Nothobranchius furzeri: one gene and its partners. The protein of the gene in region 2 binds, or shares a complex with, the protein of the main gene of each other region. Links are inferred from orthologs where the notes say so. Each region holds a gene or a part of one and is shown on either strand. Other genes may lie near its edges.

Region 1 (3,409 bases), on a different chromosome or scaffold from region 2:
CATTTGATATTCTGTAGAATTTATTTACCCTGTAGTCATTTTCTTTCAAGTCATTTATCAGATCAAACTGCAAATAAGTCATAATGATGATTTGAGAGTATGTTCAACTCTTAAAATATACTTAAGATTGTATAACAAAGACATTTAAACTATAACTCTAGTCATTTCTACTCTACTTTAATTATATATTTATTTTTAGTGATGCCTGTCTGGTTTGACAGCAGGCCGCTCAGTTCTCCAGAGGTAGGAAAAATCAGGCTTCTGTCTTGGAAACATCATTGTGGGTTTGTCAGACCAACCGAGAAAGAGAGGAATAATTTCCATCCTGTTTGATATTCCAGCATTTTGGATGAATGCTCAGATGCCAAAGATGCAGAAGCTTTTCTAAAATTGATTACTCTCTTTAAGGTCTGATGATGGAAGAGAACGTATTTAGTTGCTTTTTAGATTTAAGACAGAAGAAAATGTGCAAAAAAGGTTACAAGTCAATACAAACCACCGATTTTACCCAAAAAAAAAAATATATATATATTCAGCTTTTCAGATGGATGTTTGGACTAAACTGTTAAATTGGACTCAGGCAGAGCACATTAACTCTAAAATCATCCATGGTGCCGAGATCAGACCGTGGTCCCGGTGCTCCGAGCGCCGCCTTGCCTGGATAAGTTCACGTTCCAGGGGTCGTGTGGAGCCAGCGGCGTCTCCCGGGAAACGTTTCTTCCATCATCCCCGACTTCTGTTTCCGTCTCCAACTCTACCTCCACATCCAGGTCGATGTCGTCCTCCTGTGCCGCCCTGGAGTCCAACTCGTCCTCAGGCTGCCAAATCAAGACGTTGTGTGGGTCTGTTGGGTCCGCAACCCGAGTCCTCTTGTCTCTGTGCAGCAAAAGGCGCTGCAGCGGCACCGTGTTCTTCTTGGGCAGAAAGAGGGAGGTCTGCGGCAGGTTCTGACCCGCAGAGTAAAGCTGCCGGGAGCCCTCCAGGTTTAACAGGATCCCGGTTAGAGTAGAATAGTAGACGTCCCGGTTGTTCTCCAGAAGCCTGTGGTAGAACAGACAGGAGTCCCTCTGGCAGATGGGCTAAAAGAGGAAAAGAAAGCCATCAAACCCCAGCTGATCGATGTTTGCTGACTTTTATTTAGGCGGAAAAAATGCCTTGAATTTATTTTTATTCAATTTTCAGATGCCAATAAATCCAACCGACGTTTTAAATAAAGGAATCCTGTGCGTAAAAGTTGTGCGTAAAACTCCACAATGACACCAGAAACAAACTCGTGGTTTGATAAATCGACTAAAATTACATGCGAGCTTTCAACTGAAGTATTTTAAAGATGAATAAGCAGCAAACTAAAGAAATTAAGTGTTATTTAGAAAATAAACTGCGGTGCGCATGCGTAAAAGTAGCACAGCCAGATGCGTAAAAGCACATAGGACCGATAAACAAACTCAGAATAAGGTTTTAGGCTGGAAATTTGAAAATAACTTTGAAACACCTACCGAGCTGAACAGAATCCCCTCCTGATCCATACACAGGTAACGGTTGCTTTTGACACCGAAGATGGCCACGTGCTCCCTTGTTTCAGCTTTCATTAGAATTACACCTGCGAGAGAAAAAAAACACTTTTAGCAGCCTGACCTTGGTCTATAAACCTACATTATTTTCATCCAAATATCAACTTACTGAATGCAGATCTGGCTGTAGTTTTGCCCACAGACCCGTCTAATCTGATCTCCAGGTAGAAGTTGTTGAGTTCTGTGGAGGTCTGCAGGTGAACGTATCTCCTCGGGTTCCCCCAGTTGGATCCAACTAACGGAGACGGATTCGGTGCCGCTTCCCCGACAGGAAGTCCCTGCAGGACAGCGAGTAAGAGCGTCAGCATCGTGTCTCTCATCCCCAGTCGCTTGTTGACGTCCATCCTGGATCAAACCGCTGGTTTGGACTGCTGGAAGCGCTCGGATGCTCTGTTGTGCCACAGTTTGGTGACAGTACCTATTTAAAGCCCATCTGAGCGCCACTCCTGCGCACATCCTTTGCGCGGAAAAAAAGAAAAGAAAAAGAAACTCGCCCCCAAAGCAGAGGTGCGGGTTTCAGCAGCGGAAGGACCACTTCCACCTCTCTGTTTATTTCATGATCTTGGTTAAAAATCAAGACTTTTATTTTTGGGTTCTCTTCTTGACTCATCCACCGTTTCTTATTAAACCACCGCTTCAGGTTTTAGTTCGGAGTGCAGGAAGCTGCATTGTGTAATATTTCAAAAGGAAAAAAAAAACCTCTAAAGGCTTTTCATCACATCGCGGATTATTTCCCCAACCAAGAGTGACAGCTCTATAATTAAAGAGTTAAAATAGTTGTTTATGCCAGCTCTGCTTTTTCTGCACACCTGCACTCATCCACGTTTCCACTTTTTACCCAGCAGATGGCGACACTTCCTTGTTGGGAGGAAAGCAAACAGACGCATCTTTTACAGAAAGCTGCCACACTGGAAACCTAACTGCGTTTAGTCTGTTCCCCTCTTATAAACGGTTCATTCATGCAGGAAATTATTATGGTGACAAGTTATAATTCATGGAATAAGTCAGAAAGATTTTTTAATCTGTTAATTAACCTTACATTTGTTTTGTAAATTAGGGACAGGACTTGATTTAAAAATTATTTTGTTGTAAATTTTATGTTTGGCATGTATTTTGGGGTCTTTGTTGTTTTAAAAATTTAAACTAATATTTTGTGTTTGAAATGTTTTAATTTTTCATGATTTAAAAATGTGGAACACTAAAAACCAATTTTTAATGATTATTTCTGATTATAATGGGTCACTCTGAGTTTTTCATGCAGGCTGAACATGAAAATAGTCTCCTACACCTATCTCCTGCATCAGTTTCTGATAGAAAAGAGATGTGAAACTGCCAGATCTGCATCACACTGTCACTCAACATTCATGGACTCACCCGTGGATCACTACCACCTCTCTACCTTTGACTCTGAACGAAGCAGTACAAGTGCAGGTCGTTATCGTTTACAAGTTCCTGGAAATGGTGCAACGGTCAGTTTTTCCTCCCCAGAGTACAACTTGGATTAATTCCTAGAGACCACTACAAATGTATTTATTAAATGAGTGACTCACATCTTTCAGTTCAAGGTCAGCAAATCCAGTTAAACCACAGAAACAACAAACTCCCAGCAGCCAGTTAAAAAAAGAAAAACAAACTTTTATTATTTGGTATTTCAGGAATATACAGTAGACTGCTGTGCACAGCACATACGTACAAAAATAAAAGGAACAAAACTTTACTTAGCATCGTCTGTTATCAGAAACATGTAACTAAAATTTGTTTCGTCTCATTTTACAGAGATTAGCAAACCAAAACTAAGGCAGAAGGTGAGGTATATGAGAACAGAGGAGAGGAATAGA
Region 2 (4,289 bases):
TAACATTCCTTCCAAAATGACTGAACCATTAGGATATTCTCACTGTAAAATTCTCACTATATTCTTACATACTGCAGCTTTAATTTTTTTAACACCATTCCTCTAAAACCATGTTTAAGGGTATTTTGTCATTGTGTGGACCAGCCAATTGTCCCCACAATGTGGAAATATCCACACACTACAGACACACACACACACACACACACACACACACACACACACACACACACACACACACACACACGCACACACACACACAGACACACACACACACACACACACACGCACACACACACACACAGACACACACACACACACAAGGCTGTGTCCTTTTTAACGGTGCTGCTTTTCTTTTCTTTGGAGGACCTCTGACACATTCCTTGCTCAGCACAAACTGAGCTCTTATTTGCACAGAAAATACCTACTGAGGCCACTTAGCAAGACACACACACACACACACACACACACACACACACACACACACACACACAATTCTAATCTAAACACTGCACCTTTCTAGCTTCAGAGTGCCATATCTTATAATGTCTTCAATGTGTTTGACAGAACCTTCTCTCTGAACACATCCTCGGTATCTTCCAACACAACACTTCCATGCTGTTGCGGTTTACACAGCACACTCCAGGCAATGATAGCAGGCTGTGCAAAAGTGCAACCTCCGTTTACTCTGACAGGCACCAAAACATACGCATATAGCAGAGTTGCGTCTTGTCAGTTTGCAGATCTGTTTAGACAAGTTGCATGACAGCCTCTCAAAGCCTGAGAGCAGAAACTTGGAAACAACAACGGCGGTAAGTGACTGATCTAGTATCGTATGGCCCATGTTGCGAAATAACAGGTAGCATTACGGCAGCAGCTATGTTCAACCTGTTTGTACTGAAAGGTACGGTTAGGATTGTTTCTAAAATGTAATATCAAGACTCAGAGTTAACTGTAACTGTGATGACTCTATTTCACTAACTAACCTCAGTTGAACGGATTCAAAAAGTGTTTTAGTGCTAATATTGTGTAACAGCATGAAAAGGAAAATGACCTGCTTAATAAAACATGAACATTAATCATGTATAACTATTTTCACAGAGGTAAAGCTCAGAGGCAGAAACGGGTTCTAAGTGCTCCAATCCCTGTCATCCTCCTCCTCCTCCTCATCCTTAGTGAGGATCAATCCGAGGCACCGATCACATGCTGGTCACAAGTCTCCGAAGTGTCACTAGGATTTCACAATTAAGCTGAAGGACAGCTATGGCTCAACTCACTTCTTTATTTTAGGGGGAAGGGGATTCAAAGTTTTGTTGAGAGGCAGAGCAGTAGCCAATCAGATGAGAGAACAGCTAGGAGTCAGAATTAGCCTCACACATAGTGAGCCATCTTCCATTCCAGCTTTGATCAGAATCTTTTCATCCTTAAATGCTCTCATCTTTCCCTCCTCCATCACACTTAGCCCCTCTCCTCTCGCTGCGCCTTCAGATGGGAGATGAGCAGCAGGGACACGGGGTCGGATCAGTCTGGTTGATCTGGCGTGAATGTGGCTCTGTGGTTCCATATATGACGTCAATATTCACATCTTCCTTTAGGTGATGTGTGCTAACGCGCATTAGGTTCACTAAATCACGCCATCAGGAGCAGGAGTGGGATCACCATCCAGCTGGTCTGGAACACGTCACTGGAACAGGGATGCTATGTTAACGCTCATAAAAAGTAGTTTTTATTCATGAGCAACAAAGTGAAAGGCAGCTTAAACGCGTGTGATCATCAAACATTCGCTCGATGGGCGCGTGAGAGGTTTGATTCCACCCACCGCACCGACCAGCCCCTGCCGCCCCGTGTCTCTACGGAATCGGGCGGCTTCTGGGAAATTCGCTTGGATCACGGTTGGAGTTTGGGAGAGATGAAAATAATTCAGGAGCTATCCAACAAAGGCTCTGTTATCGAAATAAGAGGGGCCCGATCACCTTCGTGCCCTTCAAAAAGCTGCTTTATCATTTCTACTGATGTGCGTAAATAAGCGAATGTGAGCTAATATGTTCGCACACTGCGCAACGCGCATGTAGGCAGCAGTGACCACGCCAGGCGAACTAAAAGGACCAACTGACTCAGTTCTTTGTAGTCTGACTCCGGAGAGAACGCGCCAATTACGCACTGACCCAAAGAGCCGCTGTGGCACCAGCGAGGTTTTAAACAGAGATGCGTTCTCTAACGGCGAGACGCTGATGGGTCGAGCCTGTCAGACTAAAAGGAAGAGGAATTCACTTTTTGTCTGCGTAATACTACTACTACTACTAATAATAATAATAATAATAATAATAATAGTACAATTAGTAGTAGTAGCAGTAGCAGGAGTAGTAACACTTTACCTGAAATATTCAGTTACAGTAGAAGCACAGACATCTGATTAGAGAAAAATGAGGTGATTAAATTAGAATAGACCAGGAGTCCAAGAAAAAAAAGTGGGACCAAAATCCAAAAGCTTCTTAAAATACTTCCGTCCAGTCCCTTTCAGGGCAGCTGTGTGGAAAACAAAATAGTCCAAAAACCTCCCGAGTCAAAATAAGCTGCGTACTGGACTCCGCATATGAGAAAGACAAACTTGTCCTTACTGGATCCAGATCTGCACTACAGGCTGCCACCAGCTTCAAAGTGTCCAAATGTCCACACAGCGCTCATCTCGTCCTCAAGGGGAGCGGTGTGGACGGCCCGGTTCGGGTGAAGGCGGTCCGGGAGCCACTCGCTGTCACAGATCTACCGACTCTGGCTGCTGAAAAGCCAAACCTGGTTAGCGCACTACAGACACACTTCCGCCCTTTCAGAATAAAACCAGTGGCATTGAGCCAATTGTGCACACATTTGTTATACCGCTATGTGTTTTTATGTATAAATGTATTTGTTTATTTTGCCATGTAGAATTGTATTTTCTACAGCCCAAGAAACAGGGCCGCCAGCAGCTTCGTTTTAAAGCTGCTATAGCAAATTTGGAAAATAAGTTGGCTTAAAACTTTTCTATGCATTTTAACAACATTCTAACATAGTATAGCTATAAAAATATTATGAAGATAAAAAATGAAACAAAGAAAATATTAAGTGGTTCTCTTGCATTTGTCTAAAAGCCCCAGCCAATGCATGTTCAGACCAAAAGCAACCATTGGCCCATCCGGTTGTCTGTCTCGCTGAACCACCACACTTCTCTGGGTCCTTCAGTCATTACACACTTTTACACCACTGGTGTGAGGTTCTCCACTTAATAATATCACAGAAGAAGAAACAGCCAGCTGCTACCAATTCAACTTTAGGACAAACAGAGTCCCAAAAAAGAAAAACATCCAACGTCCCAGACAACAAAAGATGTTTGGACCTAAATAAATGGTGACTGATGTTTAATGCTCTCTCGTTTCCTCTGTCAATGTGGGTTTCCGGTTCCAGTGGACATGAAACCGGTGAGGATACCCGAGGGGAGGGGTGAGTGTTCCTTGCACAGACACGTTGGACTGGCTATTGGAGCTGAAGTAGCAGCAGGCTACCATCTTGGATGGGTTCCCATTCGCCCCAAGTGCATTTCTTTCTACTGAGGAAGCTTCAAACAGCACTAAATACTGTCCTCCAACTAGAAAAACATGTTTATGCTTTTTCACAAAATCAGACATATGGTCTGGCATGACAGGGTTTTTTTTGTTGTTTTTTTTTTATATATATTTTTTTCATTACAAACTCCAAATATCATAGCTTAATCCAAGCACGTTGACCATGTACATAGGAAAAACAAAGAGAAATACAAAACATAGAGTCCTTCAGTCATTTGGAAATACCTTGCAGTATGAGAGATGCTGAAACAATCCCGATGTGCTTTGGGCAGGGGTCCTACGTTGAGTAGAAATTGTCCAGTGCAGTCCCAAGCATGTACATAATATTTTTCTTTGAACATCTTAGGTGTGTTCTTGCTGTGTCGTATCTCTAATTCCATGCTGTAGTTCTTTTTTAAAACACCGAGCAGTTTTGTTTACCTGTTTTCCCGCTACGTCAGCCTGAGGAAGTTTGCAGCCGCAAACGAAACGTAGCGGGAAAACAGGTAAACAAAACTGCTCGGTGTTTTAAAAAAGAACTACAGCATGGAATGTACATAATATATTCGTTGGGAATACACTCCTGTATCACAATATGCCAGGACTTTAATGAGGGTGTAGATTCCTTGATTCAAAAAAGCAAAATATTCTTTCTGGCAGCAAAGGACAAAAGGTTATATAATTGTTTATAGTTGGGCTTTATTTCAGGATCTGGGA
Region 3 (3,989 bases), on a different chromosome or scaffold from region 2:
CGTCTGACGAGACAGTTCGATGAGTTTGGTGGAATCCGATGGACCCACATTTAAGTGTCTCTGCAATGAACCTCTTGAGGTAGTACATTTGTTTCGGATCTTCCGTTTTGGTGTTACCGAGGACATACCTGGAAAACAAACGCAAGTTCAACACAAACCCAAACTAAAACGGATATGTCCGTGTGCTAACCTACCAACCGCTTTGCATCACAAAGATGGGTGGCTTGTCATACTCTTCGTTGACCCAGTAGAGCAGCATCCTCAGGTCCAGATCTTCCAGCTGCCCAAACTTCAGGCTGTCGTTGATGAGTTGGAAGCTCAGGGTAGCTCCATGGGAGAGGGCGAAGAAATCAGCTGTTCCTCTGACCTGCTCCCTCTCCTCCTGGGTAAAGGAGGGGAGCCGTGAACCCAGCCTCTCCTTCATGCAGGCTGGATAGTCTCCATCTACAAACAGCGGCTGTGCAAACCAGCCCAGGACATGGTCCAGGGAACACTGGCACTCCCGCAGGCTTTCCAGGCGAGTACGGCTGGGCTTGATCCAGTGGGAGGCCAGAGCCATGGAGACCTTCCCGTGCTGCCGAGGCCGATAGCGGCGGTTGTAGAGGTGCCATGCAGCTGCATGGGCCTGCAGCAGAGACAAGAGAGATACATAAAGAATAAACTTTTACATGCAGGTCAAAAAGTTAAAAAAAAAGTTCTGTGTGCATAATAAATTACACTGTAAAATCTGAATGGTTATTTTTACTTGGAAAAAAAAGCATGAAAATGACAGAAAAGATTGGAGCCCCAGTGGCCTCCCTGCTGAATAAGTGCAGATTTTTTTGTGTTAATGTAGCCTAATATGAGATGTGGGGAGAAAAAGCATGTGAATGCAATTATATGGGGGTTGGGGTTAGTTGAAAAGAGATGTTAAGATAAACACTTTGATGTTTTTTCTGATGCAGATTACCAAGACGTTAATGTAGTTTTGCAAAATAGTTAAATTTGGAAAGGTATTGAAAAGCTGTTGTATCTAAAGCAACCATGAATTATTATGTTGTTGGAATTACACACACATTTTTGAAATACTTAAAGGCACATTTTTTTATTATTATTTTTTTTCATACAGATGTACCTCTCCAACAAAGCAGTCGGGCCCCCCTGTAATGTAAATGTAGAACCGCCCCTGGCCATATTTTAGTGCTTTTTACTATTTTAATGGGAAAAAAATCATAGTAATAAACATTTTTTTTTGTAATTTATTTTCAAGATACTAAATGGAAGGAAAATTGAATAAAAAATTAGATTTTTGAACAGATACTTTTTGTGACTAATAAAAAAACAGCACATTTTTTAAATCAATACCCACCTTAAGTAAGTTATGTCCCACTCGGAGAGGGAGATCAGGGTCGTTCTTGATCCCAGGAGCGACCACCCCGGTTCCGTAGCCATACTGCGCCACCACAAACGGGTTATCTATGGTGATCCAGAACTTCACATCATTCCCAAACGCATGGAAGCAAAAATCTGCGTAATCCTCAAATATCCCCACGATCTCTGGGTTGCTCCAGCCGCCCAGGGTCTGCTGCAGCTGCTCGGGCAGGTCCCAGTGATGAAGCGTGACCACCGGCTGGACTCGGACCTCCTTCAGCCTCCTGATGAGCGTCCGGTAGTAGCTGGTGCCGATGTCGTTATAACTCCCGCGCGTCCCGTTCGGAAATATCCTGGACCAGGACAAGGAGAACCTGTAGTGGGTCACCCCGAGCTGGCGGATGGCCCGGATGTCCGCGTGGATGTTGTGGTAGCTGTCGCTGCCCACGTCCCCGGTGGCCATGCGGTTCCCTCCGCGCGTAAAAGTGTCCCAGATGGAGAGCCCTTTGCCGTCCTTCTCAAACGCGCCCTCCACCTGGTACGCCGCTGTGCCCACGGCCCATATGAAGTCCCCGGGGAACGTGTCGTAGAGAAAAGCCTTGTCTCCCGGATAGGGAAGTTTACTGAAGCGGCTCCACGTCTTCAGACCCGCATTGGGCTTTGCGCCAACAGCAGCGAAGGCCACAAATGTGAGAACAGCGACAAACCCCTTCATGGTTGGTTTTCTTACTGGCCGTGGAAGTCCGGGTCCTCAGCTGGCTCACACTCCACCATGCTTGGTGGCTTTTTGGTGACTAACCAGACCTCTGCGACGCGCGAGCAGCCAGCTGTGAACCTGTCAATCATTAACCAAAGCACCTGACGCAGGAAGGGCTCAGGGCACAAGACGTTAAGGCTCCCACAAAGACAAAATAAGGCACGATCACTTTATTTTATTCTATTCTGCTCATATTGAGCCTTTAATCTCAGTCTAATCTCCTGGAGAGCAGGTGCCAAAGCCTCTAATGTGAACCCATCAACAGATCATAGCTTTAATCCATCTGCAAAACATGTATAACTAAATCTACATTCCTAATCTCATCAGAGACAATGTGATGAGTCAGATGGTTGCTAGGGAACACAAACCCATCCCAGGTTATCACAGCATCAGTATAAATACCTGAGGTGGTGGGTATGTCTTAGAATAAAAAAGTGGTTCTTTCTCTGAGAGGCCATAGTCATTTACATCTAATTAGACTTTTTGAATATTTGGAGCCAACTGTGTTCAAATATGTTGTTTATGCTATTAAAGTGTATAATCAAACCACTCCTCAGACGTCCAGCTCTGCTCATCGTTTAGCGAATTTGCCCTGCAGGCTCTGTCACGGATCACAAACGGGAAGAACACGGGAGTGTTTTTCCATCGGACGCACTGGAGCGTTTGTGCATAAGCGACGTGGAGCAGGAGCAGCCCCATTTACAGCACGGGAAGAGGATTATTAAGGGATGCTGGGCAGCCCGAGGACAGCGCGTGACTCCGACAGATGCCGCAGTTGGATCTGAAGAACTAGAACGTCTGTTTTCAGTCTGAAAAACTAAACGTTTCAAACCAAATAAAGAGGAAGCGAGCAGGTCTGGTTTTATAGAGAATTATATTGTTACAACAGAGGGTCTGACTGGGTGGATGTGAAGCCAAATTAACCAGCAGTGACACAAACGACGTTCCTCTAGCAGTGAGTACAAATCTAACCAAATAAATCAGATGCACACTACAGTCATAACCAGAAGCAACTCTACAATTGCTTTTTTTTTGTTTGTTTTTAAAGTTTTCAATAATGGTAAAAAAGAAGAAGAAATGTTTTAATATACAGAGGTGTAAACAAAATCATTCCAATAAAAGGTAAAATGACACAATTAACACAGAAAAAGTTGATGGTGATCGGTCTTTTTTTTTTTTTAGCTTTTAATAATAACGGCAGAACCCAAAAGGCTTTACAGCACCTCCCCAGTCAGCATCAAACACAACAACAGAACAACAAACAGACAGAGGAGACTATTTACAAACCATATTGTTTTTGTTTTTCATGTTAAGATGAGTTCTACCTAACGTGGCGAACATGATCACAATGCAACACGAAGCGACGAGCCACAGCTGACCATGCGGACGCTCTGATGTGGTGTGCATGTGGTAAATGCAAGTGTGTAACAGCGGGAACATCGGCATATGAAAAGTTTAAAAAGTTCAAAGTTCATGGGTTTTTTTTCCTTTCCTGAAACGGTTTCCTTGACGACAGAAGAATCGTTGTGTTTTGTTTTTTAAATTTTACTCCAAAGCTCATCTTCTGCGTCCTGCTGTCTTCTTACGACCCTGAAAGACAATAAAAAAAAAAAAAGACATTTTACTTGCGATTAATCGCAAATTAATTACAGATTATAAAAGTACGGTAACGTGATCTTTTTCATGTATGAGCAGACAAATACACCGATTCTATAAGAAAACATATTTGTTATTGCAACAATCCAGTAAAATGACAAATATTGTCCAGAATGTTCTTTTTCGATGAACACAAATCTAACTAGCGCGTCGTCTTTTATTGAGAAAGTACCGGATGTTCTCCTCCACCCCGGTGTCTACCTTCCTGTTCCCTTCGTGTCCGCCT

The links.
Region 1: the proteins of fgfr3 (region 2) and fgf23 are in contact, whole or in part, in a cryo-EM structure (PDB 7YSU), measured with the Homo sapiens proteins. The link is inferred for Nothobranchius furzeri from reciprocal best matches to the Homo sapiens genes FGFR3 and FGF23. Residues at the interface, in NP_000133.1 of Homo sapiens: Glu157, Arg158, Asp160, Lys161, Leu163, Leu164, Ala165, Val166, Pro167, Arg223, Asp244, Leu246, Glu247, Arg248, Ser249, Pro250, Val277, Tyr278, Ser279, Asp280, Ala281, Gln282, Pro283, His284, Ala312, Gly313, Ala314, Thr316, Thr317, Asp318; in NP_065689.1 of Homo sapiens: Ser29, Leu32, Gly33, Ser34, Trp36, Tyr43, Ala45, Ala47, Arg48, Asn49, Ser50, His52, Ile75, Arg76, Ser77, Glu78, Asp79, Ala80, Gly81, Val83, Val84, His117, Gln118, Thr119, Asn122, Gly123, Tyr124, Asp125, Leu158, Ser159.
Region 3: the proteins of fgfr3 (region 2) and kl are in contact, whole or in part, in a cryo-EM structure (PDB 7YSU), measured with the Homo sapiens proteins. The link is inferred for Nothobranchius furzeri from reciprocal best matches to the Homo sapiens genes FGFR3 and KL. Residues at the interface, in NP_000133.1 of Homo sapiens: Gln286, Leu288, His290, Val291, Val293, Gly299, Thr303, Pro304, Tyr305, Val306, Thr307, Val308, Leu309, Lys310, Glu320, Leu324, Ser325, Leu326, His327, Asn328, Val329, Glu332, Asp333, Thr338, Leu340, Phe347, His349; in NP_004786.2 of Homo sapiens: Ser539, Gln540, Phe541, Thr542, Asp543, Asn545, Val546, Tyr547, Leu548, Trp549, Asp550, Val551, Ser554, Lys555, Arg556, Leu557, Val563, Lys566, Arg568, Tyr571, Val573, Ala576, Pro580.

What each region holds. Positions count from the first base shown.
Region 1 is NC_091741.1:43,106,070-43,109,478, forward strand, and holds fgf23 (fibroblast growth factor 23), read right to left. Parts: upstream 2,080-3,409; 5' UTR 1,916-2,079; coding exon 1,681-1,915; intron 1,601-1,680; coding exon 1,497-1,600; intron 1,080-1,496; coding exon 621-1,079; 3' UTR 501-620; downstream 1-500. UniProt on the Homo sapiens protein: Regulator of phosphate homeostasis. Inhibits renal tubular phosphate transport by reducing SLC34A1 levels. Up-regulates EGR1 expression in the presence of KL. Acts directly on the parathyroid to decrease PTH secretion. Regulator of vitamin-D metabolism.
Region 2 is NC_091758.1:6,593,474-6,597,762, reverse strand, and holds the start of fgfr3 (fibroblast growth factor receptor 3), read right to left. Parts: upstream 2,801-4,289; 5' UTR 2,373-2,800; intron 1-2,372.
Region 3 is NC_091750.1:61,953,033-61,957,021, forward strand, and holds the start of kl (klotho), read right to left. Parts: upstream 2,807-3,989; 5' UTR 2,066-2,806; coding exon 1,349-2,065; intron 626-1,348; coding exon 195-625; intron 129-194; coding exon 49-128; intron 1-48. Other genes in the region: pds5b (sister chromatid cohesion protein PDS5 homolog B), read right to left, coding at 3,665-3,697. UniProt on the Homo sapiens protein: May have weak glycosidase activity towards glucuronylated steroids. However, it lacks essential active site Glu residues at positions 239 and 872, suggesting it may be inactive as a glycosidase in vivo.